Neurospora crassa OR74A: one gene and its partners. The protein of the gene in region 2 purifies or fractionates together with the protein of the main gene of each other region. This does not show direct contact. Links are inferred from orthologs where the notes say so. Each region holds a gene or a part of one and is shown on either strand. Other genes may lie near its edges. The genes, in order: NCU09488, NCU00981, NCU03066, NCU09004, NCU03380, NCU03321 and NCU05235.

Region 1 (4,357 bases), on a different chromosome or scaffold from region 2:
AAGTTTTTCCACATAGTGTTTCGGTACAGGTCTGTGAACATTGTTTTTCTCATCATGAAAAGCAGGCAGGGTGTGTGGTGTAAATGAAGAAAGGAGGCAGGAACATACCAATTGCTGACACCGGTCAATCAACCCGTCGCTTTTTGGCAGCGGGTTTGAAGAACGAATCCATCGTCTTCTGTTTACTGTCAAACTTGGCACTGCCAATGCCACCCCTGGTCCTTTTCAGGCCGTGGAGGTGGTCAAGGACGTTGACCCGGACGACAGTCAACTGAGCAGTCGACTTCTCGGTTTCCTCAGACGAGGCGATGGCATCCACCTTCATCTCGAGATATCCAGTGTTGCTCCAAGCAGCGAGAAATTCTGACCTTCCGGCAACAGAACCCGACGACAGCTTTGCGTTGGCAAGCCTCGTCATCTCTTCTGGGGCATAACGCGCCAAAAGTGATCTCAAGAGCGAGTTGAGTATCAAGCCATGCGCGACAACCACGACGGAGGTGTTGGTCTTGCAGTTATCACCATTGGAGATACTGTCCAGCAGCGGATCCAGGTGGGCTTGTACGAAATCGGTGGCTCGCGCGCGCATCTCGTCATGCGTTTCGGCATCGGAATGCGGTGTGCCAAAGCGCTTCCCCTCGGCAGATCGGAAATCGCGTTCGCGAAGCTCGACAACCTGTACTAGTTGGAGCTTGGAATGGTCCGTATCTTCCTTCTCCGTTGCCTTCGTCACCTGGGCGTCCACAATGGCCTGGGCAGTACTGACTGCGCGCTGCAGATCGGAAGAGAAGATGTGCGTGACAGGACCAATTGAGGACGACCGCGAGGCAAAGTGCGAGGCTAGACGACGTGCCTGCAAGACACCGTGGGTGGTGAGGGGGGAGTCACGAATGCCTGCGCTGGGGAAGGTCAGCCAATTGTCCTGTGGACATGGTCTGCTGGATTGAACGTACTATAAACCGGCCACGTTGTCGACGGTCTCTCCGTGTCGAACGAGGAAGAGCCGCATGTTGTTGGGAGATGAAGGACGAAACGAAAGACAGCATATGCCAATCGTCTCGGTTGTCCAAGTTCAAGTGGCGGATGAGGAATGCATCATCGCCGGAATGGGAATAGCAAACCGCGGGGAGCAGTTGCTGCCGTCAATCGCCCAAGTAAATGGTGATTTGTGGAAAGCAAAAGGGAAAAGAAATCCAAGAAAAAGCGCGGCAGAAAAAGAAAATTTAAAAGGGCACAGTTCAAGTGGGGTACAGAATGCCGCGCTGTCCAGGGTCCTCCCCGCCTGGAACGTCCACCAACTCCACTGGCGCAGCTGATAAGGATCCGATAAGGAATCAATTTCCCAAAAAATTCTGGACCGCTGAAGCTCCAGGCAAAGCGAGGGTTGAGGATTGTGCCAGAGGACTGGAACTGAACAGAGCAGAGGGAACCGGCTTGCACTCTCGTTGCGACTCGCATCGATCTCAACATCACTCAGAATACCGTCCTTCCCGCTCCAGCCGCCAAGATGCCCAAGAGAAAGGTGGCCGCCCTCGAGAAGGTCGACGCTGACCTGGTCAGTTTGCAGTACAAGATCAGGAGGGATCCCAAGTGAGTTGTTCTTGTTGTTGTCGTCGTCGTCGTCGTCGTCGTCGCCAATTGCTGCCCTCGTCGTCAGTCGCTTCTGTTTACTAACACCCTGGCCTCCTCCTCCAGATCCTATGCCCAAGAGTTTTACGACCAATGGCTCGCATACGACGCCCAACGGCAAATCTTCATCTCGTCCCCTTCCTCCGCCTCCAGCGAAGATAACAAGAAATTCCACGATCTCGTTGACCTCGTCGCGCACGTCGCCGATCTGTACCCCGATGTCACTGCCCCCTACTTCGACCACCTTAAGGAGCTCTTGACTCAACACCATGCCGTTCTCAACCCCGATCTTCGCGAAAAGGTTGTTGGCAGCTTGTCTCTCCTCCGTCGCAAGGATGTCATCGACTCGACCAGCCTGCTTACCACCCTCTTCCCCATTTTAATCTCGACGCCCTCCAAGTCTCTCCGCTCCCTCCTGTATACCAAGATCGTCAGCGACCTGCGCGAGTCCAACTCCAAGGCCACCAACCACAAGCTCAACCGCACCATCCAAACTGTCTTGCACAACCTCGTTACCTCGGACCGCACTTCGACCAAAGGCATGTGGGCCTGCCGCATCACCCGCGAGCTGTGGCGCCGCCAGATCTGGACCGACGCCCGGCCCTGCGACGTCATGAAGGAGGCCTGTTTGTCCGACAACGAAAAGGTCGTCGTTGGTGGTGTCCGCTTCTTCTTGGGTGGCGACAAGGAGCGCGAGGAGATGGAGGACGACTCTAGTGACGAGGAGATTGACATTAAGAAGGTCAAGCATCAGGGCACTATCAACAAGAAGACCAAGAAGCGCCAAAAGGCCATGGAGAAGGCCATGGAAAAGATTAAGAAGCAGGAGCGCAAGAAGCATGCCCCTCATCCGCTGAACTTCTCGGCTCTCCACCTCATTCACGATCCTCAAGGCTTCGCCGAGCAGCTTTTCCAGAAACACCTGCAGAATACCAAGTGCAAGTTCTCCCTCGACAACAAGCTACTGGTCCTCCAGCTCGTCACCCGTCTGGTCGGTCTGCACAAGCTCACCATCATTTCCTTGTATCCGTGGTTCACCAAGTACTTGACGCCCAAGCAACCGTCCGTCACTTCATTCCTCGCTTCTTTGGCGCAGGCGACACACAACCACGTTCCTCCCGACGCCATCGAACCTCTCGTTGTCAAGATCGCCAATGAGTTCGTCTCGGAGGCTTCTGCCGCCGAAGTTGCCTCTGCCGGTATCAACTCTATCCGTGAAGTCGCTTTGCGCCAACCGCTCTGCATGAGCGAGACTCTCCTTCAAGATCTAGTCATGTACCAAAAGTCCAAGGACAAGGGCGTGGTAATGGCCGCCAAGGGTCTTCAGTCTCTTTACCGTGAAGTTTACCCCGAGCTGCTGCAAAAGAAGTTCCGCGGCAAGGAGGCAACCATGGGATTGAAGTCGGGTGAGGTCAAGAGGCTCAAGTTTGGTGAAGAGCAAGTGGAGAGCGGTATTGAGGGTATCGAGCTTCTCGAGAAGTACAAGGAGGAGCAGAAACTCAAGAAACTCGCTGAGAAGGGTGAGGATGCTGATGGAGACGCTAAGATGAAGGATGATGATGATGACGAAGATGGGTTCAATTCCGACGAGTGGGAAGTCGCCTCCAACGATTCTGACTCTTCAACCGGGTGGATCAACGTTGAGCACTCCGATGACGAGGACGAAGGGCCTGCAGCCAAGAAGCAGCGTCGCGACAGCTCAACGGCTCCTGATCTCATCTCCGACGAAGCCATGGCCGCCGCCGCCGAAGCCAACCGCATTTCCAAGCTCGCCATGACCACTATCCTCACGCCCGCCGACCTCGCCAAACTGGCAGAGCTCCGCCGGGAGGCCCAATTAGACAAGATGACAGGCACCGTCTCCAAGAGGAGACAAGAACTTATCGCCAAGCACATCGAAGACGGTGTTACCGCCGACGACATTGAGTTGCCTGCCCAGATTGGCAAGAAGAGCACCAAGGAGGAGCGGGTGGCCATGGCCAAGGATGGCAAGCCTGCGCGTGAGGAGCACAAGTCGACGCAGGCAATCAGGAAATCCAAGAAGGAGGCTGAGGGCAAGTCGTCGACGAACAAGGAGAAGGCGAGAAAGAAGAACTTCCTAATGACGGTTGGTAAGGCGAGGGCGAAGCATAAGAGGAGTTTGGTGGATACCAAGAAGCGTCTGACGGCGCATATTGCTAGGAGTAAGAGCGGAGGAAGGAGAAGGAACGGTATGTAACACGGAGAGTTGTGGAATCGGTGATTCTCTGTTTTCGTAATCGTATTTGTTTGTACCTTTTTTTAGGTTTTGGGAAATTAACTGCGGACGAGTGTTGTACTCGTTCATGTGTAATCACACATTGTTTCCAGTCCTTTCGGGTGAAGTTGGTCCTTTGTTCCATGGTACTTATCCATATCACCCTTTTCTCCCCACGGTCCGTTGTTTGACTCCGCGATGAGGGAAGAACGAGAAACCGTCGCCGTCACCGTCCAAGGGTTACAGATGTAGAGGCACGGTAGAGGTATACTTTTACCCAATACAGATTGAACTTCTAGAGTAGAGGTAGTCTCGTATGCCTCGTCGCCTCACAGACTTCAACTAAAGTCGCCATCTCGTTCAACCTTTGCCTTCAGTATTGACCGTAAACCACTCGGCCAACAAGGTGAACATTGCAGCAGCGTGACAAGTCCACCCGATCATGTATTTGTAGAAGATTAGCTGGCTGCCCTGGTCACTGGGTCTCGAGCTGGC
Region 2 (3,675 bases):
CCCCTAGCGCTCCTGTCGCCGGCTCTGGACCTCCGAAGAAACGCTCCTATGCAGAGATCATGGCAAGGGCCCAGGCCAATCAGCCCATGCTGTCATCCGTTGGAAAGATTCAGCACAAGAAGGTGGAGAAGCAGTTGACGCTGAAGGAACGCAAGGAATTAAAGGCCGAGGAAGCGAAAAAGGGCAAGAAGGATGTAAGGCCACCGACTACCGGGAGGAGCGGTGTGACAGCTGGGCCAACCCGCAATGGTACCAACGGCACGACTGCGAACCGTCAGCGGAGTATCACCCCCTCAGCCCCGGCTGGCGCCAAGTCCAAGACAGGCCAAAATGCCGTGGAGGAGAAGAAGGTAAAGAAGGCTGCTTTAGCGACGACTGGATACCAAGGCACGGCACGTCCCCGCCCAGGGGCCACCACCACAAAACCAGGAGCATCCACCTCGGCAGGCGCAAGTAGGGGCCGTGGGCTGTCCGGTTATGGCGCCTCATTCTCACGTCCCCGGAGACGCGAGGAGGAGGATGAAGAGTTGGACGATTTCATCGAGTACGACGAAGATGAGGACGATGGCTACGGCTATGGTCGTCGCGGTGGTTACGAGTCACTGGAAGAGGATGACTCAGACATGGAGGCGGGATTGTCCGACATCGACGCGGAGGAACGCCGGGCAGAGTTGCAGGCTCGCAGAGAAGACATGGAGCAGGAGGCGCTGGAGAAGAGGTTGAAGCGCGAGAAGGAGGAAAGAAAGCGGGCAGCACTTGCAAAACTCAAGTCCAGAGCCGGAGACCGCTGATATGTCGTGGTTGCGTGGCGTGTCTCCTTCTTTCTTTTGCCTCTAAATTGGGAAGGTTTCGGCGCATCGTGATAATTTCAAGGCAGGAATTCGTTTTCTGGAGACGGTTTTGCAATGGCGTTGGCTGGAAGACAGGACGGACACCCAGAAACATTTTGCATCAGCGTCTGGAGTTTAGTCATTTTGCACGGATTCCGGTTTCATTGGCGGGCGTTGGCTGGCAATAGAGCCCGTCGGACGAATTATAGTATAGGTTGTCATGACACGGTGTAGCATATCTAGATATCTTAACACCCCCAAGCATACCACGTCTTTGGGTTTTGCCTTTGTTGACATACCTACTGTGCTCGTTGAAGCGGGTTATGCGAGCCACACAACTAGTGTCCCTTGGTAATAACCTAGTTGCAGGAGCCATTCTACGAATGGTAAGGTGATCTCCGGATCTATACAAAAGTTGTCCACTGGCCTTCCATCAAGGTTCTCGTCCTCAACGGGCGGCTCTGGCTGCCGCGGTGCACTTCCAATGCCCTGCAGCTGGCAGGCACCTTCATCCGAACCCACTCCACGTTTTCCTGGACATGCTGTTAAGTAGATATCAACCAATGACAGGTGATGAAGCTGCCCCACTATGTCCACCTCTTTACGGGTCTCCGCCACTGGAGGAGCCGCCCGATAAGGAAAGCTAGCCTTGAATGGTTTTTTTATCGGCTTCAAGACGTCCGTTCAGCAGGCATTCGCATAGGTAGAGGTACTGAAGCATATTGACCTAAACCGCATCGTCATTCTCGTCGCCCTTCGTCGCCCTACAACATCTGAAGGCCAGATTGCGTCGCCACATATCTTGAACCGCAAGACCCTCAAAGGGCCTAAAACACCAATATGGTACGGATATCATTTCTTCGAATTGCCCTCCCAATCCACAGCCACTCTCCTCAACATCATGACCCCTTCCGATCACTTGAGAGCAGACCATGCTAACCGACGTTTTCCTGAATACAGCCTCAGAACGAATACATCGGTATAGTTCCCTTCGCACTCGATCTTGATTACCGTCGACCTGTTTCCAGTCCCTAACCAATTATTTCGTTTCGCAGAACGCGCCCAGAAGCTTCACGGTAAGCGTCTGGACACCGAGGAGCGCGCACGCAAGAAGGCTGCCCGTGAGGGTCACAAGCAGAGCGAGAATGCACAGAACTTGCGTGGCCTGAGGGCCAAGCTCTTTGCCAAGGAGCGTCATGCCCAGAAGATCCAGATGCGCAAGGCCATCAAGCAGCACGAGGAGCGCAATGTCAAGGGCGCCCCCGAGGAGAAGGACCCTTCGAACCCCGTTCCCGCTTATCTGCTCGACCGTTCGAACCCCACGAGTGCGAAGGCTTTGAGGTACGTCACTTGAATGGGAGGACACATGAGAAGCGAACGGCCGCGGCGGAGGTGGAGGCCAATGTGAATGCAATGATGGCAGTAGTCATGGAGGTTGGAAAGGGTCCCATACGATGACGAGAGACTGACCGTTTTCTTCGTGCAGTTCCCAGATCAAGAGCAAGCGTGCCGAGAAGGCCGCTCGTTTCTCGGTCCCTATTCCCAAGGTCAAGGGTATCAGCGAAGAGGAGCTTTTCAAGGTCGTCAAGACGGGCAAGAAGGTGCACAAGAAGGGCTGGAAGCGCGTCGTCACCAAGCCAACATTCGTCGGACCCGATTTCACCAGACGCCCAGTCAAGTACGAACGCTTCATCCGGCCCATGGGTCTCCGTTACAAGAAGGCCAACGTCACCCACCCTACCCTCAATGTCACGGTTCAGCTCCCCATTCTCGGCGTCAAGAAGAACCCCAGCAACCCCCTTTATACCCAGCTTGGTGTTCTGTCCAAGGGTACTATTATCGAGGTCAACGTTTCCGATCTTGGTATGGTCACCGCGTCGGGCAAAATTGCCTGGGGTCGTTATGCGCAGATCACCAACAACCCTGAGGTATGACCAGCACAACCCCGCCTCTTAACTTTACATGGACGAACTGCTAATACTTAACTTCCACCAGAACGACGGATGCTTGAACGCTGTGCTCCTGGTTTAAGCGCAAGAGTGAAGAGGGTGATGGTTTGATTTGTCTAATTATATGTCTAGTCTCTTGGGCGGCAACTGTAACGGGATTGCGTTAAATCTGATTTTGCATCTGGGACTGGCGTCTGGTGTTTTGAAAGAGGATCGACACTCACGGCCGCGCAAAATATCTCGTCCGGGGGTTCACTTAGGTAGTATAGTGGTTAAGATACACACACAATCTGCGGTAGAACATTATACCCTCCGATCATTTGTTTTGGTTGATTGTATCACCTGATGGTTTAGAAGACATGGATTAATACGATAAGACACATAGATATATCTTCTCTGGTTGCTGCTGCGCTTGATCTAGGTTGACTCCCATGGGTTTCGAGCAGACTATGCTGGCAAGCGATTAACCTTACAAAGGTCTAAATGGCTGTATGGAACCCTGCATCCTGAGTCGATGGAAATTTGCTGGTCGATTTGACATGCAACACCGCAAGCAACTAACGCAAGGGCAACACATTGACTTCTACATCAGCTCAGAGCATCTAGCTTGTCTTCTGTATCTTGATTTTAGAAGGAGAGCAGTTCCGAGCTTCATCACTCCAGGGTCAACCCAGCCTCCAAGAATCAAAAGCAGGTATTTTCTATCCAGACCGACGAGTAACTTCTGTACTCTTCAAGCCCACTTGCCACCACTCAACGGTCAACGAAACGCTGATACCGTACCAACGAAGAGCTACTCGAAGCGATATAAAGAAGCGATTTGCCCATGTCTCGGGATCCTAGCTTTAATGGCCCCGGGAAAGCGCAGGAATCGGTAAGATGCATCGTAGTCACCC
Region 3 (4,150 bases), about 2.1 Mb from region 2:
GCGCCCTCGCCGATAGCCTCGACCTGTGCGTCGACCCCAAGGAACCCTTCTTCAACACGCTCATCCGCATCATGGCTACGCGCTGCATGATGTCGGCCGAGTACTTTTGCTCGGGCACCCAATCCTACCCGGAGTTCCGCCACTACGGCTTGGCCTCTGAGATCTACACGCACTTCACGTCGCCCATCCGCCGCTACGCCGATTTAGTTGCCCATCGGCAGCTCGCCGCCGCGATTGAGTACGAGGCCGTCCACCCGGCCGTCCGCTCCCGTGGCCGCCTTGAGGCCGTGTGCAAGAACATCAACGTGCGCCACCGCAATGCCCAGTTGGCCGGCCGTGCCAGCATTGCTTATTATGTCGGCCAGGCCCTGCGCGGCAAGGCTACGGAGGAGGACGGCTTCGTCATGAAGATCTTTAGCAATGGCTTTGTTGTGCTCGTGCCGAAGTTCGGTATCGAGAGCTTGATCCGTCTGCGTGACCTGGCGGAGCCGGAGCCGGCGGCGACGTATGATGCCGAGACGTACACGCTGACCACATCGGGAAGCAGGGAGGTTAAGGTGGAGTTGTTCCAGAAGGTCAGGGTGAGGGTGACGGATCAGAAGGATGAGACGACGGGGAAGAGGGGGGTGAAGATGGAGCTTGTTAGTACTTATTAGATTTGTTGAAGATGGATGCTTCAGTATTTGAGAAGGGGTACAGGTTAAGAATACCCTTGATGGACTTTTGTAGAGCAATACATTGTTTTTTTACTTTCGGCTATCCAAACGTTCATGAAGTCATTTTCGGAATGTCGTTGCTTTCGAATTCGATAATAGGCCATTGAAAACACAGCTCGGTATGATGAACGATGCAGGGAATGTCAGAAAGAATTTAAAGCTTCACTTCAAAAGCCTTTGTCATAGAGGTGTTTATGATCAGGCTATATTTGACCTATTTTCTACCAGCCGGCCTGCCTGTCTCCCTTTTTGCTCTTTCCCACCTTGACGCCAAAACGCCTCTTCACAAAGATGTGTCCAGCTCCGGGGTTCGTTGTATTGTGTTTCTGACATGCAAAACAACAAAATACTCATTACGACATTGACCACCGACGCAACCGAAAACAAAAAAGAAACCAAAAAGTGAAATGCTCAACAACAACTGCCAACAGACAAAGATAGGGGGAATAAATCGCTCTACTGCATCTCAACATCCGGAGTCGCCGTCTCCTCCTCATCTCCCCAAAGACCATCCAGCTTGAACTCCTTGGCCCACTCGGTCACGATCACCTTCTGATCCGCTAGGGGCTCATCAGCGGTAGCAGACTTGCCGCCAGCAGGAGCAGGAGCAGTGGCGGTACCAGCCACAGCCAAGACGGGAGCATCGATCCAGCCCTGGATACGACCGTCGCGCCAGTCGGTCACGACAGTCATGGCAGCGGCTTGGATATTGGGGATACCGCCCCTGCCCAGCCTGCCGCGCTTGCGGGCAACCTGGACAAGGAAGTCCATGGTGGGGTCGCCGTTGTTGGGGTCGCGCAGCAAGGGGGGAAGGTCGTACACCTTCATCATCTTGTCCATCAACTCGGGGGTGGCCGACAGGCGCTTGAGCAGCAGCGTCACGGCGGGGACCGGGTCCTCGATCTGCTTGGGCGGGATGGCATTAAGGAGCACCAGGTGGGCGTGCGCCTCGGTCTGGTTCTTGGGGGTGAAGGTCGAGTTGCCGGCAGTGGAAGGGAACACGATACCGGGCGAGTCGAGCAGCGTCAGCTTGCTGTCGATCTTGACCTGGCGGATCGAGGTGGTGACGCCGGCCTCGGCGCCGGCCGGGCAGGCGTTGTGCTGGCCGCGGCTGTTGCTGAGGCGGGACAGGAGGGCGTTGATGACGGACGACTTGCCGACGTTAGGGTAGCCGATTACGCCAACCTGGATGGAGCGCTTGAGGTTGCGCGAGACGGCGTACGACTTGAGCGCACGGAAGAGAGCCGCGCTGGTGCTTTGGACGGTAATGTCGCGGTGCTGGAAGGTGTGGGCGTTGGGGGCAGGGTTGGAGGCACGCAGCGGCAGCGTGGGGAAGTAGCGGCGCAGGTGGGTGAGCCAGCCGCGGAGGACCGGGGGAGGGATCAGATCGACCTTGTTGAGGATGAGGATCAGGCGCTTACCACCGTGGGCGGCGGCCATGACGGCGCGCTCGACGTCCCTCGAGCGGGTGCCTTCGGGATCACGGGCGTCGAGGACGTAAAGAATGACATCAGCCTGCTCAACAACCTGCTTGAAGACCTTGTCGAAAGCCTTGCGCGAGGAGGCGCCGCCGGGAACCTCAATAACGCCGGACTGTGTGGGTTCGCCATCGGTCTCGTCGTCGGACTCGTCGTCATCGTCCATCTCGTCGCCGCTCTGGAGCTCGCGGTCGTACTGCTCGGCAGCTTTCCTGGCGCTGGCCACCAGGGCAGCGAGGGGGTTCGACTCATCGTCAACGTCGCTACCATCCTCCTCCATAGCATCGTCGTCGTCCATCAGATCGTCATCGAACGCCTCGACATCGCCCTCGGCGCCCGTCTTGGTGTCCTGGCCAGTCTTGGCCGCCTTGGCCATCTCACGACGCTTCTGCTCCTGTTCCTTTCTCCGAATGCGGTCCTCCTCGATCTGGTTCAACAGCTTCTCCTTGTAGGGGAAAAGGTTCGGGATACCCGGGTCCTTCTTGAGCTTGGAGCGCCATTCTGGGTTCTTCTTGGCGAGCTTTCTGTCCTTGCGTTGCTTCGCGGCCGAGGCCTTCTGGATCTTGTGCCTGAGGCGTACGGGTGTACGCTTCGATTTCGGCTCTGTTTTTAAGTAACGTCAGTCAATGTGTTGATTGGAAGAATATGTTGTTCTCAGCGAAAGATTGACTGACTTTTGGGCTTTGTTATCGATCCGGCCATTTTGAAGATATGCTGCTCCTAATGTCAAAAAAGGAGGTACAGGAGGATAATTGAGGATGGGACAGCAAGGTAAAGCAGCAAAATCCGGTCGCTACTATGGGCGGCTGTACTGATTGATGGTCGTCAAAAAATTAGAGTGGAGGAACGGTTTGTGCCACTGCTGACCGCCTAGATAAGCTCTGATAAAGCAGGGATCCGCCGTGTTGAACTCCACCAAGATTCCAGAAGTCCCCGCTTCGAATGTGGAGATGCGCGTGCCTGTAATTTACAGTCGTATTGTATGTTTGATTTGTGTTTAGCCAAACGTGGAATGTAAATTATATTGATACACTTATGGTGTGGTTGCGCTTGTTCTCTATATGTATATGAAGAATTATTGCTACCGACTCTTTACGCAAGTGGTTTGCATTGCCTTTCCAGAAAGAGGACTTTAGGTCGGTCCGTCTCAACAATCAAACACTTGTCTGCCATGACGATCCTCAAATCCATCGAACCGTCCGTCAAGGTGCAGTTCTGGATGCCATCAGTTCTGTCGTCAAGCACTTGTTTATACCACACATGGACGCTGTACGCTTTTTTTGAGTTTTTGGATCATCATGGATTCAACAGAACACCGTGCCCCGCTCGCATAATTGATCGTCGCTTAAGCTGACAATGGCATTGCACTATGCAATGATTATCGGCAGAGCAGACACTCCGGACATTGGGTCATCTTGGCCTACGTAGACAAAGTCCTGAAGCAAAATAGCATGCTAGCATCGAATACGCATCAAGAAAGGGGGTTGTGGTGGGGAGGTAACATATCACCCAGAAACCACGCTTATCACGCTTCACATGAGGGAGTATCTTCAGAAACTCTTCCGTAGGTATCCCCCATTTAGCGTAGAGAAAGACGGAAGAGACCGATTGTTTCCCAAGTTATCGCACCCTTCAATCGCTGTTCTCTTGTAAATGCATCCAGGACTTGCGAGTCAATTGTATCCTTGATCTGATGGGCCCTTTCAACGCGTTCAAGGAGCTAATTTATCGCTAATTACAACAACGACTCATCCTAACGCTGCTGGGACAGTTGCTAGTTGACCGTATCGAGGTTTCCGATCGACCGGCACGCGAAGTGCTCCGCCTAAAACTCCTTTGCTGTTTCATACTGAACCCGAAGCACACGCTTTGCATCATCCATCAGGTCCATGTGCTGATAGATAACACCAAGCTCGCCACTGGCTTCGATGCGCAGCTCACTTGATGCCGACATGG
Region 4 (4,209 bases), on a different chromosome or scaffold from region 2:
TTTTCGGCTGCATCCCAGCCTTTCAATGTCACGACCGAATGCAGTGATGACGAAAGCGAAGGAGACGAAAATCATTTGCGGCGTAGGCGAACCCCCAACAGGATTGGTGCTTTGCCTTTTGAAAGCGACAGTAGTGATGACGGAAGAGACCCATGGAACCCCAGCGGTTTGGACTGGACTGATCTCACTCGTGCGCGACACTCTGCTAGTTGGCGTAACGAATACGACACGGGAACCCCCGAACTTGAACGAGCGCGAGAAGCCTCGCAGGTGGCCACGCAGGAGGCGGTACGAGCCGTTGGCGGAGCGCTTATGTCTCCGCTGGCCCAATTCTACATTGAGAAGGACAAGAACAAGTGTACCATCAAGTTCGACCCGCCGGTGAGCGCGCGGTACATCCTGCTCAAGATGTGGAGTCCACATCCTGACCCTCTTAAAAATATTGATATCCAGGGGGTTATAGCGAAAGGCTTTGCTGGTCCGCAGCTATTTCCAGCCCAAACACTGCAATGAGACTGAGTCAAAGAAGGTGATCAGTTCTTGCAAGGCATGCATCATCCGGCAAAACGGGGTTGGCAAAATAAATGTTCGCGTCGTCTTAAATAGACTACTGGTCTCACGAGACTAGTGCTTGACGGTCAGCCGGGGGCAGGGGAGTTTGGAGTTTTGGTATAAATGCATCTTGTTTAAAGGCGATGATACTTGGATGATGGCTTTCAACGGTCATGGGAATTGGTATCAGCGGGTTATATGGAGGTACCTCACGGCATTATGGCAAAGTGCGCTTTCTCGTCAACTGAACCAGATGTTCCCCCAGCCATACGTTCCCTCTGCTAAGCTCATAACCCAAAATGACAACCGGGCTCCCTTAGCCACACTTTGGTTGTTCTCATTGTTGTCCTGTCGCTACATGGGCTGACGAGGAGAGGTTGTGAATCCGTGGGTTAGGGTTCATCATGAGCCGAGCGGACGAGTTCAACAAAAAAAGATAAGCCAAAATGAATTGTCCGGTATGTCGGCTTCTGGCATCTATGTCTATACCACCAGGATCCTGTGATCTTCTACACAGTACACTGCAACAGCAACTTCATTACATTTTGCAGAAGTTGAACTGTTGAAACAAGCCCCAGTCTATTCTACTACGCCCCGCAAGTGAGCCTCTTTGGGTACCTTGCATATCGCAACAATGATGAATCATAATGAAAATGGCGGTAGTGTACACTACCAAATGGGAAAGCCACTGCAAATCTGATTGGGCAAACAAGCTTTAGGAGGCGGTAATGGGGTCGGGTAGACGTAGAGGATAGCTTCCATGTCGCTGTAACATAGTGGGCTGTGTGGCAAGCCTTTTGCCATCCCGAGGGTGGCTAGGCACTGCTCGCGTAGCCTTACGAGGATTGCTCCAAAGTGTCTGAGTCACCGGTGATTGAAAATGAAATTGTATCGATGCAAGTGCACTAGAATTTCGACAAACTCATACTTCTCGATGGCAAAAATGGAAGGGTTTGAGTAGAGAGGTTGGGTTGGTAAGCCGCATGTATGCGTCCATGTCTTGTTGTTGAAGGCAAGTACTGGTACATACATCTGTAAGGGTCTTGGTACCCGCTTCCAAAAGCTGTGTGGTTCTTCCTCAGTCCAGATTCCAGATTTGATAGCGCCCCACTTTACACATAGCCTGGAGTCTGAATCCAGATTATATTTTCCTTCCATCGCCCACCCCACCAGTCGTCATTCGCGAAGCAGCAAAACGGCATTCTATACCTCCAATCTCCATTGCTTCAGTCGCATAAACTCAATCTCTCCGTCTCTATCGGAATACCACTTCACCCACCAAGTAAAGGAAGCCCACTAGGAGCACTACACAAGAAGAACCGAAGCCATGGCTGTCCGCGCCCAGTTCGAGAACTCCAACGAGTAAGTTTTGCTTGGCCTCCACGTTCCGAGATGGGGAATCGCGATGCGAAAATCGAAGATCTGCCCCGCCTGCCACCGACGACGACATCAATACCATGCTTCGACACCGCGACAGCAAGGCGACTCTTGAATCTGAATGGGGGGCGGAGGGTAGTTCTTCGGGATATCAAGTAGCAGACGCGCTAACATTGTCTGCTTTCTCAATAGGGTTGGAGTCTTTTCCACACTTACAAACTCTTACGCTTTGGTCGCCGTCGGTGCCAGCGAAAACTTTTACAGCGTCTTCGAGGCCGAACTCCAAGATGTTATCCCTATCTGCAGAACCACCATTGCCGGCACAAGAATCATCGGTCGCTTGACAGCTGGGTAGGCGCTTCTTCCCTCTGCATTTTTGATTGAACTTTTAGTCCCAAGTATCGGAGGGGGCGCAACCGAGAACCTGATTATGGGACATTGGTAAGCTAACCACGAGTAAAAAAAAAAATTACAGTAACCGCAAAGGTCTCCTCGTCCCCACTACCACAAGCGACCAGGAACTGCAACATCTGCGCAACAGTCTCCCCGACGACGTGCGCATACAACGTATCGAGGAGCGCCTGTCGGCCCTGGGCAACGTGATTGTGTGCAACGACCACACGGCGCTGATCCACCCGGATCTGGAGCGCGAGACCGAAGAGATCATTGCCGACGTGCTCGGCGTCGAGGTGTTCCGCCAGACCATTGCCGACAACGTGCTCGTCGGTAGCTACATGGCGCTCAGCAACCAGGGCGGCCTCGTTCACCCCAAGACATCCATCCAGGACCAGGACGAGCTCAGCTCCCTGCTCCAGGTACCGCTGGTGGCCGGCTCCGTCAACAGAGGTTCCAACGTCATCGGCGGTGGCATGGTGGTCAACGACTGGATGGCCGTCACTGGTCTTGATACTACGGCGCCCGAGCTGAGTGTTATCGAGAGCGTGTTCAGGTTAGGAGAGGGTGCCGCGCCTGGCCAGATCAACTCCAGCCTCAAGGATACCATGGTCGAGTCTTTCTACTAAATCCAATGGTTTTTCTTTTGTGGGCTTGTTTTGGAGTTGGTGTTATCTGTGCTTGGTAGGCAAGGAGAAAGGAAGGCAATGTGTGAGGCAGGAGGGAGCGGAGGCGAGAGATGGATGTGTAGGAGGCGGGATTCTTGTCAGGTATACCAACGACAATGGGTCGTTTCTGACATGCATGCTCAAGCGTGAGCAAACAAGGCGATTTTTCTTCCAATGAATGGTTCCTATGACTGGCGTTTTTGCGTGAGGATATGGATATGTGTGAAGATGACCGTGGTTGTGGCTCGGCCTGGATTGCGAGATTGCTTCGAGTTTTGGAAATGCCATCTGGAATGAAAAAAAGCTTCCAGTTGACATGGCCATGGCCGTTCAGAATAATCACGAAGTATAGATACTCTTCGAGGTTCAGTTAACATGTGACATATAAGTCCAGAACGCGGGACCAATGTCTTTGGGATTTGGGGCAAGGCACGGTTTTCTGCCAAGGGTTAGGGTTGTACTGGTAGTTCTTGGTTCACCTGTCATCCAGTGAAGAAGACCAACTGAAACTCCAAGCTCGTCCCCTATGCTCTATGACGGGATCATCACCTCCTTTTACGAATGCAAATCCAGACGCCAAGCGAGATGCCTCTTGAGACAATTCCCCATCATCAATGTTTACAAAAAAACCATCATGCAAAAACACAGTACGGCATGTACCACACCCGATGCTGCCTCGAGTGCCAGGGTTGGTTGCGATCGCGGCGGTTGCCAGCAAGCAGCGGTGATGCAGTGTTTCATCATGCACGATGATGTGGTTGTCCGTTCCAGGGACTCGTGGGACCCAGCATTCGTCAACACTTTGTTGACCTGACATGTCCATATGCATAGAATGGGGGGCTATAGAATGCGTATAATACCTACCACGAGTCCAAGTCCACACACAACGACATGGTAATCCACGGCGGCTACGTATAATGTCTCACTCGAGAATCCTGCTTCTTCTTCTGGAAACGGCTTGGTATGTGATGGGTGGAAATAATTTAAACCACGCAGCTTTATTCCGCGATGCCCTGACCGTTGAGAGACATGCAGCTTGTGGCAAAAGATGCGTGGACTAAACTACTAGACTTAGTCATGAGTGGAAATATCGTTCGGGAATATTGGTTTCTTTTGAAACGTCAATCTGGGGGGTTTTTGGTCAATTTCCAGGAACGTGAAATTCGACGAAATTGCACAGACCCACGAACCCGTCTGATAGTCAATCGGCAGGTCCGAT
Region 5 (4,213 bases), on a different chromosome or scaffold from region 2:
TCTTCGCCTGAATCACAGTCAAAGGCATACTGATGAATGAGAACATCGAATTTGGTTCCGGTACAATGCATGTTTTTCTCTGAACATGATGGTCCTTACAGCTCAGACAATAAAGATTCAATTAACTGCAAAACCTTGTCCCACTTCTAATCATGTTAACCCGGCGTGTGGTTGAGAGAACAAAACCGAACATGGACACTTCAACGTTATCCATCCTACTAGGGAAGGAAGGCCGTTGCAAGGCTGTGATATGCCTCCTTATGACTTGGAACCACGCCGTCCAGAGTCTATTAGGGATTATTTGGTTCAGGAAGGAGTTTGAAGATTGCCTAGAAGATAAAATCAAGACGCATGCATGCGAGCAAGAGTATACTGAAGGTGTGATGTAGTGGACTGAATACATTGGTTTGGTTTGTTCATACGAACACTTTGTTACCACAATGTCTCGAATTTCGAGAACATTTGTGATATCGATACTGTGTCTCCATTTGGGTGTTATGATAGATATTGTCTCAGGCAAAACAGCTGTACTTTTCGAGTACACCCATTATCATGATTACCATGAGGACTCATGGATACAGCATGCCAAGAACCAACAAAATTCCAATTCATCAAAAGGGTATATACGCCTCATACGCCTTTACGTCTTAGAAAATGAACCATTACCATCAACTCCCATTACCCAAGAAGCTACTCAATCATCAAACCCACCAAACTCTTCATCACTATCGTCCACCTTCTTCACCGGAGCCTTCGGCTTGGGTGGGTTCGCCGCAAGCGCAGCTGCCCTCTCCTCCGCCGCCTTGGCCTCGTTCCGTTTCCTCACCTCCTCAATCATCTGCTCCAGCTTGAGATGCTCCTCCTTCTCTTTCTCCGTCATCTCGCTGAATTTCTTGGCCTCCCTCTTTCTCCTCTTCTTCTCGCGCCTCTGCAGTTTCGTCTCCTCCTGTTCCGCCTTGCCGCTCCACGCCTCGTTCTTCTTGCGCTTGTCGCCCGTATTCTCTTCCTGTGCCCGCTTTGCCTTCTCCTCCTTCCACTTGGCCAGCTCTTCCTGACGCTTTTTCTCGCGCACCTTGTCCTTGAAAGGAATTTCTTCCGTGTTGATGCCCAGACCCAGAGAGCGGTCGATCTTGGCTTCGCGGACTTCGGGCATCTTGGGCAGCTCGAGAAGGCCGTAGCCCTTGGCTAGGTCGAGCCAGTCGAGGTCGGCGATGCGGAAGATGGAAGAAGCTTGGTGTTCGATGTAGGAGCGCGTCCAGGAAACGAAAGCGAGCTGGGCCATCTGGAAGATCTCGCGGTCGGCGAGGGCTTGCGATCGGAAGGCGGCGGAGACGCGCTCGACTTCATCAGGGGTGACGGAAATGGCGGGCTTCTCCAGGGGCGTGATGGGAGTTTGACGGACTTCAAGAAGCTGTACGTAGCCTTCCTCGCGACCCGGCTGGAGCAGAACGACGGCGAGACCCCGACGACCGGCACGGCCGGCACGACCGCAGCGGTGAATGAAAACCTTGGTGTCCGTGGGCGGGTCGTGCTGGATAACGAGGTCGACTTGGGGGATATCAAGACCGCGGGCGGCAAGATCGGTGGTGAGGAGGACCATGGGCGAGGTGGTGTTGACGAAACGCTCATAGTTCTTTTCGCGGACTTTAGGTTCGAGTTTGCCGTGCAGGGAGGTGACGGAAAAACCGGCGGGCAGGACGGCGCCGAGAATGCGGCTGAAGTACTTGACGGCCATGCATGAAGAGAAGAAGATGATGGATCGCTGGGGCCTGGGCTCGAGCTTTTCGAGGAGCTGGACAATTGCTGGCATTTTCTGGCTGGCTGGGGTAACAAGGTAGCTCATCTGTAGAGACATTGGTGTTTTCCTCTCTTGAATTATGCCACCGTCCTTCAGACTCTTCACTCTGACGGTGATCTTGTGTGGGTACAATAGACCAACTGTAATCAGCCTTTCAACGGCGTCACTGAGCGAAGCACTGAAAAGACCAGTACGGCGCTGCTTCGGAAGATATCCGAGAATGCGGTTGAGCTCGTTCGCGAAACCCATATCGAGAAGGCGATCGGCCTCATCCATAATGAGAACCTCAAATGTAGACGCGGGAGCCTTGACGTATGCGCTCGACAAGAGTTCGGCAAGACGGCCGGGAGTGCCAATTAGGAGATTCGGGGAAAGACGAAGGAATGTACCGAGATCCTCAGCAGCCTTGGTGGTGCCTCCGACAAGTAGTTGGGGGACAACGACAGGCTGGGTTGCTGTTGGGCGCTTCTCGTCGCTTTTGGCGTGGGAAATGGCTTCAGCGGAGGGTTCGTGAAACTTGACGAGGGAAACGAGGACATTGTAAATCTGGGTTGCAAGTTCGCGGGTGGGCGAGATGATAATGCCTTGGACATGGTTTCGCTTGGCTGGTTCTTCGCCGCGCAGGAGTTTCTGTTGCAGAATCGGTTAGCATATGATCATCCTGAGCTGGTAGACAGCAAGAGATCCGGCTTACCTCAACTACCGGAATCAAAAAGGCAAGTGTCTTTCCACTGCCTGTTACGGCCTCGACGACAACATCTTTATTTCCACGGAAGAGCTCAAGGCATGACTTTTGAACGGGAGTCGGCTGGGTAAAGCCCATGGAGGAGAGGTAGTCAAGAATCCATTGGGCGAGAGGAGGCGTGAGAGCGTCCCAAGACCTTGGAGGCTTCCGGACCTTAGTCTGTGGTTGGGTAGGCGCCATGTTAATTATGTGGTTGGCGGAGTATCGGGGCGTTGTAATCGATCCCTGAAGCTCTGCGTATTGCCCGTGGTGATAGCAGTGCGATGCTGTTGAAACAAAAATTGGCCTGGCGACCATCCAAACAATCCTTATCTTATCTGCCTATCGATAAAGCTAGCGTGAGCGTAACCTCGCAAGTTGCATACAGTACACAGCAGCCTTCACTTCTTTCGAATCCAATTTGATCGGTCCAAACCTAAAGATCTTCCCATTAGATTTCAGAAATTCGTTGGACAACTCACGACTTATACTAATTATATCCCAGATGTGCGCTCAAGCCGTTTTGTATCGTGAATATCAATAGACAGCTTTCGGATCTTCACGATCGTCTGTTGTTACTAGTGCAATTATCAGATATTGGAATGTGGGTCTCATCGAAGAACCCACGCAGCCACGGCAACCTGACAAAGGCTTGATCTTATTTGCTTACATGGTATAGGTAGTGTAATGCTACAACTGAAGGTGTCAATATTCAGCTCGACTAAGCTCCAGTGGCTCCCAAAATTGAAGTCTACGTCGTCTTCATCCAACCTTGTTTGACGACTGGCCGTCTGCTCAAGTCCATGATAGGCAAACATGCTAAGAACGCTTGAACCACTTTTACATGATGAGGAGATTGTGTACAAAGAAATCCCCATCAACCGAGATCGACCAAGGTGATGAACGTCAACGGTTGAGCAGAGTACAAAGTCTCTTTTCAACAAGGCACGGCAATATACTATGGTATAGGTATATCGAGCAACGCCTGGCATGAACTGAAAATGGCGGCATTCACGCCCAACCGTCTTCCTTCAGTTCAGTCTCAACTTCCTGTTGTCACATGCAAGGTCGCGTCGCTGTGTGCTGTTGCTGCTCTTGAAAGGCCACCACCCACCAATGTCATCACGCCTTGCCGCAATTGGGGTAACGGACCAGGGCAGTGAGCTGGGGAGCCCGGTGCAACCACCTGAAGCGCAACGCAGGACACGCGCCGGCTGATTCCCACTCGCACTCATGGCCGGGCATCCGCAACAGCCGAAATTTCTGTTCTTCACAAACACCGAACCACTGTCATTCGTCTATGATCGTCATCACTGGATCCTAAACCAAGTCCAGCCCAGGGTAACGTGCCACCTCAGCCACCGAGTACGGGTACAGTTTCTTTTTTTTCCTGCTTTGCACATCTTTTTTTCCTCTTGCTGTCAAGATACCCTTCTTTTTCCTGGACCTGAACCCTCCATATCCTATCGATTCGGCAGAAGAGTCGAAAAGAACCGACACTTGCCAGTCAGAAGCATCATTACTCGTCTTGATGCCACCACGGGTTTCCCTAATTTGCTGAGATACTGTCTGTCTTACTTGACTAAGGAACCCGGTCCATCTTGGTTACAGGTCACCTATCCCCGGCCCCCCGGTCACCCGTCCCGCCTCAGCTCAGCTCGGAGGTTGGAGCCCTCTCATTCTTCCACTTG
Region 6 (4,477 bases), about 1.2 Mb from region 2:
CCCATGGGTTTCTGGGCCGAGTAGTTACAGTGAACGCCTTCGCGCTTACACCGCGCACAGCCATCTTGTTCCTTTGTGCAAGCAAGTTTCCGTGTCCCTGCATTTGTTAATTTAGATACATTAGTGCGGTTGGGCAGTCATGGTTGCTGACTAGAGGGTAGAGGTAGATGAATATATGGATCGAAACGGGGAGCGGGACGAAACATACGGCACTCGTCACAGGCACGGCGTTTCACCGGCTCTTTCTCCTTAGTGACTTCGCTGTTTGAGATCATGGCTGTTTTCCGCAACCGGCCTTTCCTTTATTTTGCTTTTTTTTTCTCCCCTTCTTTTCCGCGGGCGTAGATGTGTGGTGGATAAAAAGGGTTGAGTGGTAAGGTAAACGTCTAAGGCTCTCCGCAAGCCCCGCTTAGAAGACACAGAAATCGCCCCGGTGGTACTCCAAGACACTATCTATGTAGACGCTAGTGTGGTGTACACAGTAGATGGGCAAACAGCATGGATATGTACGTTGTAACAAGGGACCTAGGATGATAGGATCGACTCGTTTTCAGAGGAGGGCAAAGAAAGCAGATTTCAGACAAGATGCTCCAGGCCCGCAATGTTAACGAGCCAACGCAAGCAATCAAAGATCACCTGGTCGCGCCAGACCTGATGCCATATTAATAAGCCGCAATTGACACAGATAATGCAGAGACTGACTTTTGTTGCCGCGTTGCCTCAAATGGCACTGGTAGTGTATCAGTCAAACACCCAGGCCTTTGGACATATATGTGGCTCACTGGCCAAAGGCATGAATGATGTCCTTTTGCTAGTTATGGGATGACTATAGCGTGGGTTTTATGGCAGTAGTGTAGTGTGAAGGTGTCGAGTAACCCTAGCCCATCAAGGTTCCCTAGCAGGCGTCGTGCTACACTACATATTGTCAACTGCCATGCTTGGAAAGCGCAAAAAGACGGCGATGGTGACAAAAACCGTAGTGTAAGAGGCAATGGGGTAAAATTCGAACAAAAGTCTGTAATTACAAGCGATCCATGGAGACTCAATCTGATCACGCCGGGTATTTGATTGATGCTGGTTTGCCAGTTTTGACTGCCAATACCCACAGAACGGGCAGGACGAACTACAGAAGTGGAATCGTGCGTGGTTGAAGCCAGGTGTAGGGGTGCAGAGGGATGCTGCATCGAGGTTGGAGTTCGGTATTCATCTCATCCATGATATACAAGTAACAAATAAGGCTAAAAATTTGAAGTCGGTATCAGAGGGACGGAGACACGGAGTGCATGCTCCTGGCTTCATTTGTCTTTTGACACGCTAAACCGATAGGGTAATATGTTATGGTTCTTTAGCTGCCAGAAATGCCAAGGGCGGTGAGACCAACTCGTCCCCGCCATGAGCTGTAGAACCGGCAGAAAAAAAAGTCCCAGGCCAATTCGTATGCTAGGAATTTTCGACGCCTATCGCTGCGACGCTATCTGGGTGTTTTACCAGCAGAAAACACGCCAAAAATCAACACACATTCACAATGGGGCCAAAAGCCACCGAGAAGAAGCGAAAGGTCCAGGACGCCGAGCCTGAGTCCGACGACGAGATTGCACCCGATTTTGACGGCGCCCTGTCGCAGAGCGAAGACGAGTTCGATTCTGACTTCGACGACAATGAGCACGAACAGGACGGCGAGCAGGAAAGCGGAAGTGAGGCCAGCGACGACGAAGATGAGGAGGGCTCCCTACTAAGCGACGACATTCCCTCCGATGCTGAGGGCGACAAGGCAATGGGCAAACTTGTTCTCGAGGACGAAGAAGAGGAACTCGAGATTGAGATACCCGGAGTCGACCCCAAGCGGCCGGAGAAGGATGATGGAGACAAGAACTATCGGATCGAAAAGGACGCGAACGGCAACGAGCGCTACGTCTACGAGTATGTTGTTGTTCTGCAAATGGATCAAATATCGTTCCATGCCAGCATAGTTAACTCGAGAATGCAACAGTGAGATCGACCCCGTCTACGATTCGGACGATTCCGATGCCCAAGAAGCGCCAAACACCATCGGCAACATCCCCATGAGCTTCTACGACAGCTATCCCCATATCGGCTATGATATCAACGGCAAGAAGATTATGCGCCCGGCCACTGGCGACGCTCTTGATGCTCTCCTCGACAGCATCGAAGTGCCCAAGGGCTGGACTGGCCTTACGGATATTCACACCGGCAACCCTCTCAACCTCAAGTATGCACCCAACCCATCCTCCTTTGTCTTGCTCGGTTTCTTCGGGTCACGCTTACTGACTGCCATACCGTAGTGATGATGAATTGGAGCTTGTTCGCCGTGTCCAGATGGGTATGATTCCCAACGAGCTGGAAAACCCCTACCCTGAAACCGTGGAATACTTTACTGGTATTGAGGAGAAAATGCGTAAGTCAAAATCTATCTACACTTATCGTTGTTGAAATGGTGCAACTAACAAGTCAATAGCCCTGAGCGCTGCCCCTGAGCCCAAGCGTCGCTTCCTCCCCTCCAAGAACGAGGCCAAGAAGATTATGAAGCTTGTTCGCGCCATTAGGGAAGGCAGGATCCTGCCCTACAAGCCCCCTGAGGAGCGCGAGAAGGAGGAGGAAGAGGAGGAGCAGTACTTTGATATCTGGCAGGATGAGGTGCCACAAGAAGTCAACCCCTTGCACATCCCGGCACCCAAGCTGCCTCCTCCTGGTTTCGACATGAGTTACAACCCGCCCGCAGAATACCTACCGACCAAGGAGGAGAGAGAGGAGTGGGAGAAGCTCGACCCCGAGGAGCGCGAGAAGGAGTATCTCCCTCAGAAATACGACTCTTTGCGGAAAGTTCCCGGTTATGGCGAGATCGTCAAGGAGAGATTCGAGAGGTGCATGGACCTTTACCTTGCTCCTCGTGTGCGGAAGAACAGGCTCAACATCGATCCCAACTCGCTCCTGCCCAAGCTTCCTTCGCCTTCTGAGCTCAAGCCTTTCCCTACAGTTGCCCAAACAGTTTTCCGCGGCCATGACGGCCGTGTAAGAAGCGTTGCCATCGACCCTACTGGTGTTGCTGTCGCTAGCGGTGGCGACGACGGTACGGTACGTGTGTGGGAGCTGTTGACGGGTCGCCAAGTCTGGTCCGTCAAGCTCAGCAGTGAGGAGGCTGTCAACACCGTTAGGTGGAGGCCCGCGAAGGACTCTTTCATTCTCTCCGCTGCTGTGGGTGAGGATGTCTACCTCATGGTTCCTACACACGCCAGCGTTACTCCTGCTTTGGACCAGGCTAGCAGAGATATCCTGTCGGCTGGCTTCGGTTATGCTACAAACGGTCAGCAACACGGCGCTGCTCCCGGCAAGGAGCCTCCTGCCAAGTGGGCCCGCCCCGGTGCTAAGCTCGAGGATGAGGGTGTCTTGATCAGGATCACAGTCAGGTCGACCGTGAAGGTCATCAACTGGCACAGGAAAGGAGACCATTTTGCGACAGTATCGCCTTCCGGACAGAGGAGCTCCGTAGCCATCCATACGCTCTCCAAGCACCTCACCCAGATTCCCTTCCGCAAGCTTTCTGGCTTGGCTCAGACAGCGTCTTTCCATCCCCTCCGTCCTCTCTTCTTCGTCGCCACTCAACGAACAATTCGCTGCTACGACTTGCAGAAGCTCGAGCTGGTCAAGGTTGTCCAGCCTGGCGCGAAGTGGTACGTATCCCCATGGCTAGCCGGATAATGTGACTGGAATTGATTTGCTAACTCTGTTGACTTGTAGGATTTCTTCGTTCGATATCCACCCCGGCGGTGACAACTTGATTGTTGGCAGTTACGACAAGCGTCTCTTGTGGCACGATCTGGATCTTTCCATTCGTCCGTACAAGACGATGAGGTTCCACAGCGAGGCGGTTCGTCAGGTCAAGTACCACAGGGGCGGCCTGCCGCTCTTCGCTGATGCCAGTGACGACGGCACTCTCCAAATCTTCCACGGCAAGGTCCCGAACGATCAGCTGGAGAACCCCACCATTGTGCCTGTCAAGGTGCTCAAGGGACACAAGGTCGTCAACAAGCTTGGTGTCCTGGATATGGACTGGCACCCGCGTGAGCCGTGGTGTGTGTCTGCCGGTGCTGACGGCACCATCCGTCTCTGGATGTAAAAGAACAGCGTTTAATGGGACGAGACAAAAGATGAACAAAACACAAGGAAGGAAAACGGAAGCGAGAGGACAGGTTAATCAGTCTGCTTGTCTTGATTGGCGTGCTCGGATGTGCTATTATTATGATTAGAAAGATACACAGGCCAGTTGGAGTATATACAAGTCGACTGCATGTATGTTCGGCGGAGTTCTCGGAATGCTAAGGAAATATACCACATTTTCGTCTTTACGCTACTTTGCTATTGGGCAGCAGGGGGTTGATCTAGGCCGATGAGGTCTCGCCATGGCTGTTAGGCAACGGGATTATTTGTCTGCCCTACGACCCCTGTCTATTCAATCTTG
Region 7 (3,937 bases), on a different chromosome or scaffold from region 2:
GTTTGCCTTGCAGCAAGTGGACGGTCTAGACAGGGAGCCACCGCTCACCTCCGCCTTTCTCGCCTGCACCTCCTGCTTTTCTTCCTCTGTTGTGAGTAGTTACTATGTCCAACGGCTTCTCGAGACCTGGAACCGTCTGGCTGAGGCATGGTGTAACCCAGGATTGAGCGGGGTAGGAGTGGCAGGCAATATCCAAAATCCAATCATCTCGAGTGGCTGGACGTCACTTTTGTATCACAGCGGCCCGTCTGTGAGTTCCGTCGTCTGATTCTGTGATGTCTAATGGCACCACGGAGCGAGGAGTGGTCCGGTGCGCGTGTGCTGTGGCTGGGGGAGGAAGCAGTAGGTGTTGGGTTTGTAATTTTGATCCTTTGTACATTTCAGTAGATACCAAGTTTGAGAAGGAAGATTACGGTGAACCGCATGGGATAATTACCGACAAGAAACTGGAAAGAGATAGCGACATCTTGACTTTCCTATACTTAGTGTACGGTTTGTATCAGGAAAGAACGATCTCGGGACCCTTACTGTCGCAGGGCAGGAGCTAGTCTGGTGGAGCCTCAGGGGAACCCGACTCCACTTTTGACGCTTTCCCCGGATTCCGTCCCCGCATCTTTGAGTTAGCGCTGTGGATCTGATGGGGCTCTCGGTCAGCACCCGACCCTCAACTCCGCTGTGAGTGAGATGAAAGGAGCACTGTGATTGGGGAAGGAGTGAGGAAAGTCCATTGCACTTCAAGTTCAATCTGAGAGACGGAGATGCGTTATATCAACCAAGTGTCAAGGAAGACCTCTTTTTGTGTAAAGCCTAAGTAGTCACCTTCAACAGACACTGGCCTACTGCCGACGGAGTTTCCATCACAGAAGGTCTTGATCATTGTGAGAAATGACAGACAATTCAAGATCCGATTTCGCCACAGTCTCCGAGAAGAACTTGACGCCTTCAGTTGTAACTCGAATAGATTCTTCAGACATGGTAAAAATTGCAGTCACGAACACCGATGATACCCGGTGTTGAACATTGTAGAGGGTGTCAGACTTTAATCGTTAGCAGTAACTGATGGGAAAGAAAGAGAGTGGAGCTAGCAATGTTAGGGTCCGCGAGAGTCCTGTTAACAGAAACCAATGCCATCTTGGTGACTGAACATTGTCGCGAAGCGAAAAGATCGTGAGCTCAAGAAGTATTGTTGGATGGATCGGGGAATATACTGATTTGGGAAAAGTAAACATGCCCGTCGACTTGAGCATCATGGCCATCGCTTGTCGAGAGAGCATCGAAAGTAAGCAGCCGCAATTGCCGGCCAACTTACATCGAGGAATCGATCATCGGGAACCATCATTGTCAAATCAAGAGAAAAGAACCGTCTGGGCTGGCGTATATGCACGCTCAACCCTAACCCGAGTCTTGTCGGCTGATAGCACGATAGCGCTAAGATAAGCCAAGCGTCCCCTCCGCCCCACTTTACTTTTCCAACACCGACATCCAGAAATTTTCAGAAGCGGCGCCCTTGACCGTTTCGCTGTTGTTGACTTTGTTGCTTGCTTCCCCCTCTCCTCCCCCCCCTCCCGAACAGACAACGAGCCCATCCTCACCCGGCTCGCTGCTTCTCTCCTCAACCACCACCACCACCACCACCACCACAACCACCCACATAACCCGTCAAGATGCGTGTCGATCCCTGTTTCTTTTGCGGCCGTCCGGCCTGGCCCTCCAAGGGCATTACCTTTATGCGTAACGATGGTATGTTTTTGTCATACTTCAGTTCCCCATCATCAACCTCTCCGTCAAGGCCAATTGCTAACCAGGGTACAACTAATGTTACAGGCAAGTCCTTCCGCTTCTGCCGCTCCAAATGCCACAAGAACTTCAAGATGAAGCGCAACCCCCGCAAGCTCAAGTGGACCAAGGCCTACCGCAAGAACGCCGGCAAGGAGATGGTGGTCGACAGCACCCTGCAGTTCGCCGCCCGCCGCAACGTGCCCGTCCGCTACGACCGCGAGCTCTTCGCCAAGACGGTCAAGGCCATGGAGCGTATCTCGGAGATCCGCCAGCGCCGCGAGCGCATCTTCTACAAGCGCCGCATGGCCGGCAAGCGCGCCCGCGAGGTCGCCGCCGCCCGCAAGCTCGTCGCCGAGAACGAGCACCTCCTCCCCCGCCTGCGCGGTTCCGAGAAGAGGAGGCTGGCCGAGCTCGCCCAGGAGACGGGCCAGGACGTCGAGGAGCTCGAGCGCGAGGAGCTGGCCAAGAAGGCTGCCAGCAAGAAGACCAAGGCGTTTGGCGGCGAGGTCAAGAGGCTCCGTGTCAGGACAGACGGCGGCGTGGAAGAGATCTCGGAGCGCGTCGCTGGTGGAGGCTTGGTCGATGAGGATGACGATGACGAGAACGATTTCGAGGACGTGGACGATGACGACGAGATGGATACCGACTGAGCGCCCGAGTCTCTGTAACTATTACTACCGCGACCACCACCACCGCCAACCACCACCACCACCATCACCAACACCGAAACCAGCCACCTCTTTTCTCGGGATCATTCGTTGTTTGCTTGTTTTCTTCGGACGAACTCGCTCCCGCGGCTGTCGATATCCCTATGCGGGGGAGGGTTCTGCTGTATTTTTTCGGCGGCCTTTCCTCGCCACTGAGACCTGCCTAGTTGACACCAGCAACAAAGCCCAACTACGACGAACGGGTCTTGGTGTATAAAGACGGAACGACCAGAAAGAGGACAGGACAGACAGCAATTGGTTGACCAACAGCCAATACTCTAACTGTAAAAACAGTAACTGTGGCTTTGGACAGACAGACAATCCTCCCCCCCGAGCGATGGCTGCTTTCGGGGCTTGCTTATACCCCTTGCTTGGTTGGTTGGTCGTTGGTCGCTACAGGTCATTGGAAAGATTCATTATATTCAGAACCATGGTTTTCAAGGGGGGGATCAATCAGTCTACCTTTAGTAGCAAAGCATATTTTCGGTTTTATTGGAATCGGCGAATTTGGCGTTTAATAGACACGGGGAGACCCACAATATGAAGTACTTGTTTGTTTTTTTCTTTCTGCCATGTCTTGTCTTGTTTTATAGTAGTAATCCTCAGTACTTTCTGACTCGACAAGTTACTCGTTTCTGTCTTCTGCCAACGTGACTGACCTCTGTAGCTCGAGACCTGACTAGGTATCCTAGCCAAGGATATATCCAAGGTCAATCTTGGACTACTACCCGTTCGTTGATTCCATCTTGCACTCAGTCGACAACACAACAACTCTAAACAACACCTAAAAGACACAGTTGGTTCAAGTCGGTAACTAAATACAAAGTATTATATCTTTTATCATTTGTATTATTATAAGCGTTAAGACCCGACAAAACCAAACCAACCCCTTCCTTCGCATGCTAATGCTCCGATCGCCTTGCTTTAGCCAGCCAGCCAAACCGTAAGCACAAAGCACAGCCAAGTTTCTCATTATAGTTTGCTTCCCCATTTGTCAGGTTGTCTAGCCCACCCACCTCTATTTCCCTCCCCCCACCCCCCATCATCATCATCATCAAGTTCCATCTCATTCTCTCATCATATATTTACCCCATTATATCGTTAACCTCGTTAACATCGTCAACATGATCATCATCCCCATTGCTGTCTTCATCCCCAGCCGTCACGGTTTCCCAACCAGCACGCCCTTTCCCTAGGGAAGAGGAATTCAGCTTGTCCTGCCCTGATCAGACCAGAGCAGACCAGACGAGAGCAGACCAAACCGCACCAGGCCGCCAGACCAGTCAGACCAGTCCAGTCAGTCTTAACAAGCGCACCCTTCCTGCGCCACCGTCTCCTTACTGCTGACATCGATCCTTGTCGCCGCCGCCCCCGTGCCCGCACCACCGGCACCTTCCCCACCGGTGCCCTCCATCCCGGGCAAGGCCTGGGCTATCCTCTTGAACAGCGTC

What was found.
Region 1: the proteins of NCU00981 (region 2) and NCU09488 purify together in Saccharomyces cerevisiae (affinity purification with mass spectrometry; 4 studies listed by BioGRID, with this or other methods). This does not show direct contact. The link is inferred for Neurospora crassa OR74A from reciprocal best matches to the Saccharomyces cerevisiae genes NSA2 and SDA1.
Region 3: the proteins of NCU00981 (region 2) and NCU03066 purify together in Saccharomyces cerevisiae (affinity purification with mass spectrometry; 7 studies listed by BioGRID, with this or other methods). This does not show direct contact. The link is inferred for Neurospora crassa OR74A from reciprocal best matches to the Saccharomyces cerevisiae genes NSA2 and NUG1.
Region 4: the proteins of NCU00981 (region 2) and NCU09004 purify together in Saccharomyces cerevisiae (affinity purification with mass spectrometry; 6 studies listed by BioGRID, with this or other methods). This does not show direct contact. The link is inferred for Neurospora crassa OR74A from reciprocal best matches to the Saccharomyces cerevisiae genes NSA2 and TIF6.
Region 5: the proteins of NCU00981 (region 2) and NCU03380 purify together in Saccharomyces cerevisiae (affinity purification with mass spectrometry; 5 studies listed by BioGRID). This does not show direct contact. The link is inferred for Neurospora crassa OR74A from reciprocal best matches to the Saccharomyces cerevisiae genes NSA2 and SPB4.
Region 6: the proteins of NCU00981 (region 2) and NCU03321 purify together in Saccharomyces cerevisiae (affinity purification with mass spectrometry, with the first as the bait; 4 studies listed by BioGRID). This does not show direct contact. The link is inferred for Neurospora crassa OR74A from reciprocal best matches to the Saccharomyces cerevisiae genes NSA2 and ERB1.
Region 7: the proteins of NCU00981 (region 2) and NCU05235 purify together in Saccharomyces cerevisiae (affinity purification with mass spectrometry; 5 studies listed by BioGRID, with this or other methods). This does not show direct contact. The link is inferred for Neurospora crassa OR74A from reciprocal best matches to the Saccharomyces cerevisiae genes NSA2 and RLP24.

The regions. Positions count from the first base shown.
Region 1 is NC_026502.1:4,439,060-4,443,416, reverse strand, and holds NCU09488 (SDA1 domain-containing protein), read left to right. Parts: upstream 1-1,374; 5' UTR 1,375-1,504; coding exon 1,505-1,587; intron 1,588-1,692; coding exon 1,693-3,844; 3' UTR 3,845-3,975; downstream 3,976-4,357. Other genes in the region: NCU09489 (phosphoglycerate mutase), read right to left, coding at 125-896, 951-1,006.
Region 2 is NC_026501.1:6,508,689-6,512,363, reverse strand, and holds NCU00981 (ribosome biogenesis protein NSA2), read left to right. Parts: upstream 1-1,486; 5' UTR 1,487-1,670; coding exon 1,671-1,673; intron 1,674-1,790; coding exon 1,791-1,809; intron 1,810-1,885; coding exon 1,886-2,171; intron 2,172-2,316; coding exon 2,317-2,758; intron 2,759-2,825; coding exon 2,826-2,861; 3' UTR 2,862-3,150; downstream 3,151-3,675. Other genes in the region: NCU00980 (hypothetical protein), read left to right, coding at 1-791. UniProt on the Saccharomyces cerevisiae protein: Involved in the biogenesis of the 60S ribosomal subunit. May play a part in the quality control of pre-60S particles. Under normal, rapid growth conditions, high levels of NSA2 would allow the progression of pre-60S particles through the ITS2 processing.
Region 3 is NC_026501.1:4,413,724-4,417,873, forward strand, and holds NCU03066 (GTP-binding protein), read right to left. Parts: upstream 3,002-4,150; 5' UTR 2,897-3,001; coding exon 2,869-2,896; intron 2,798-2,868; coding exon 1,173-2,797; 3' UTR 832-1,172; downstream 1-831. Other genes in the region: NCU03065 (mitotic control protein dis3), read left to right, coding at 1-656; NCU03067 (hypothetical protein), read right to left, coding at 4,020-4,150. UniProt on the Saccharomyces cerevisiae protein: GTPase required for 60S ribosomal subunit export to the cytoplasm.
Region 4 is NC_026503.1:4,190,470-4,194,678, reverse strand, and holds NCU09004 (eukaryotic translation initiation factor 6), read left to right. Parts: upstream 1-1,479; 5' UTR 1,480-1,879; coding exon 1,880-1,914; intron 1,915-2,121; coding exon 2,122-2,280; intron 2,281-2,404; coding exon 2,405-2,951; 3' UTR 2,952-3,438; downstream 3,439-4,209. Other genes in the region: NCU09005 (hypothetical protein), read left to right, coding at 1-513. UniProt on the Saccharomyces cerevisiae protein: Binds to the 60S ribosomal subunit and prevents its association with the 40S ribosomal subunit to form the 80S initiation complex in the cytoplasm. Is also involved in ribosome biogenesis.
Region 5 is NC_026502.1:903,868-908,080, reverse strand, and holds NCU03380 (ATP-dependent rRNA helicase spb-4), read right to left. Parts: upstream 2,801-4,213; 5' UTR 2,724-2,800; coding exon 2,493-2,723; intron 2,429-2,492; coding exon 695-2,428; 3' UTR 384-694; downstream 1-383. UniProt on the Saccharomyces cerevisiae protein: ATP-binding RNA helicase involved in the biogenesis of 60S ribosomal subunits. Binds 90S pre-ribosomal particles and dissociates from pre-60S ribosomal particles after processing of 27SB pre-rRNA.
Region 6 is NC_026501.1:5,301,330-5,305,806, forward strand, and holds NCU03321 (eukaryotic ribosome biogenesis protein 1), read left to right. Parts: upstream 1-1,461; 5' UTR 1,462-1,525; coding exon 1,526-1,920; intron 1,921-1,990; coding exon 1,991-2,230; intron 2,231-2,303; coding exon 2,304-2,416; intron 2,417-2,476; coding exon 2,477-3,689; intron 3,690-3,756; coding exon 3,757-4,135; 3' UTR 4,136-4,349; downstream 4,350-4,477. Other genes in the region: ada-4 (all development altered-4), read right to left, coding at 1-97, 209-275.
Region 7 is NC_026504.1:5,663,941-5,667,877, forward strand, and holds NCU05235 (ribosome biogenesis protein RLP24), read left to right. Parts: upstream 1-1,514; 5' UTR 1,515-1,664; coding exon 1,665-1,740; intron 1,741-1,824; coding exon 1,825-2,429; 3' UTR 2,430-3,133; downstream 3,134-3,937. Other genes in the region: NCU05234 (GTP-binding protein ryh1), read right to left, coding at 3,790-3,937. UniProt on the Saccharomyces cerevisiae protein: Involved in the biogenesis of the 60S ribosomal subunit. Ensures the docking of NOG1 to pre-60S ribosomal particles. Activates and recruits ATPase AFG2 to cytoplasmic pre-60S ribosomal particles.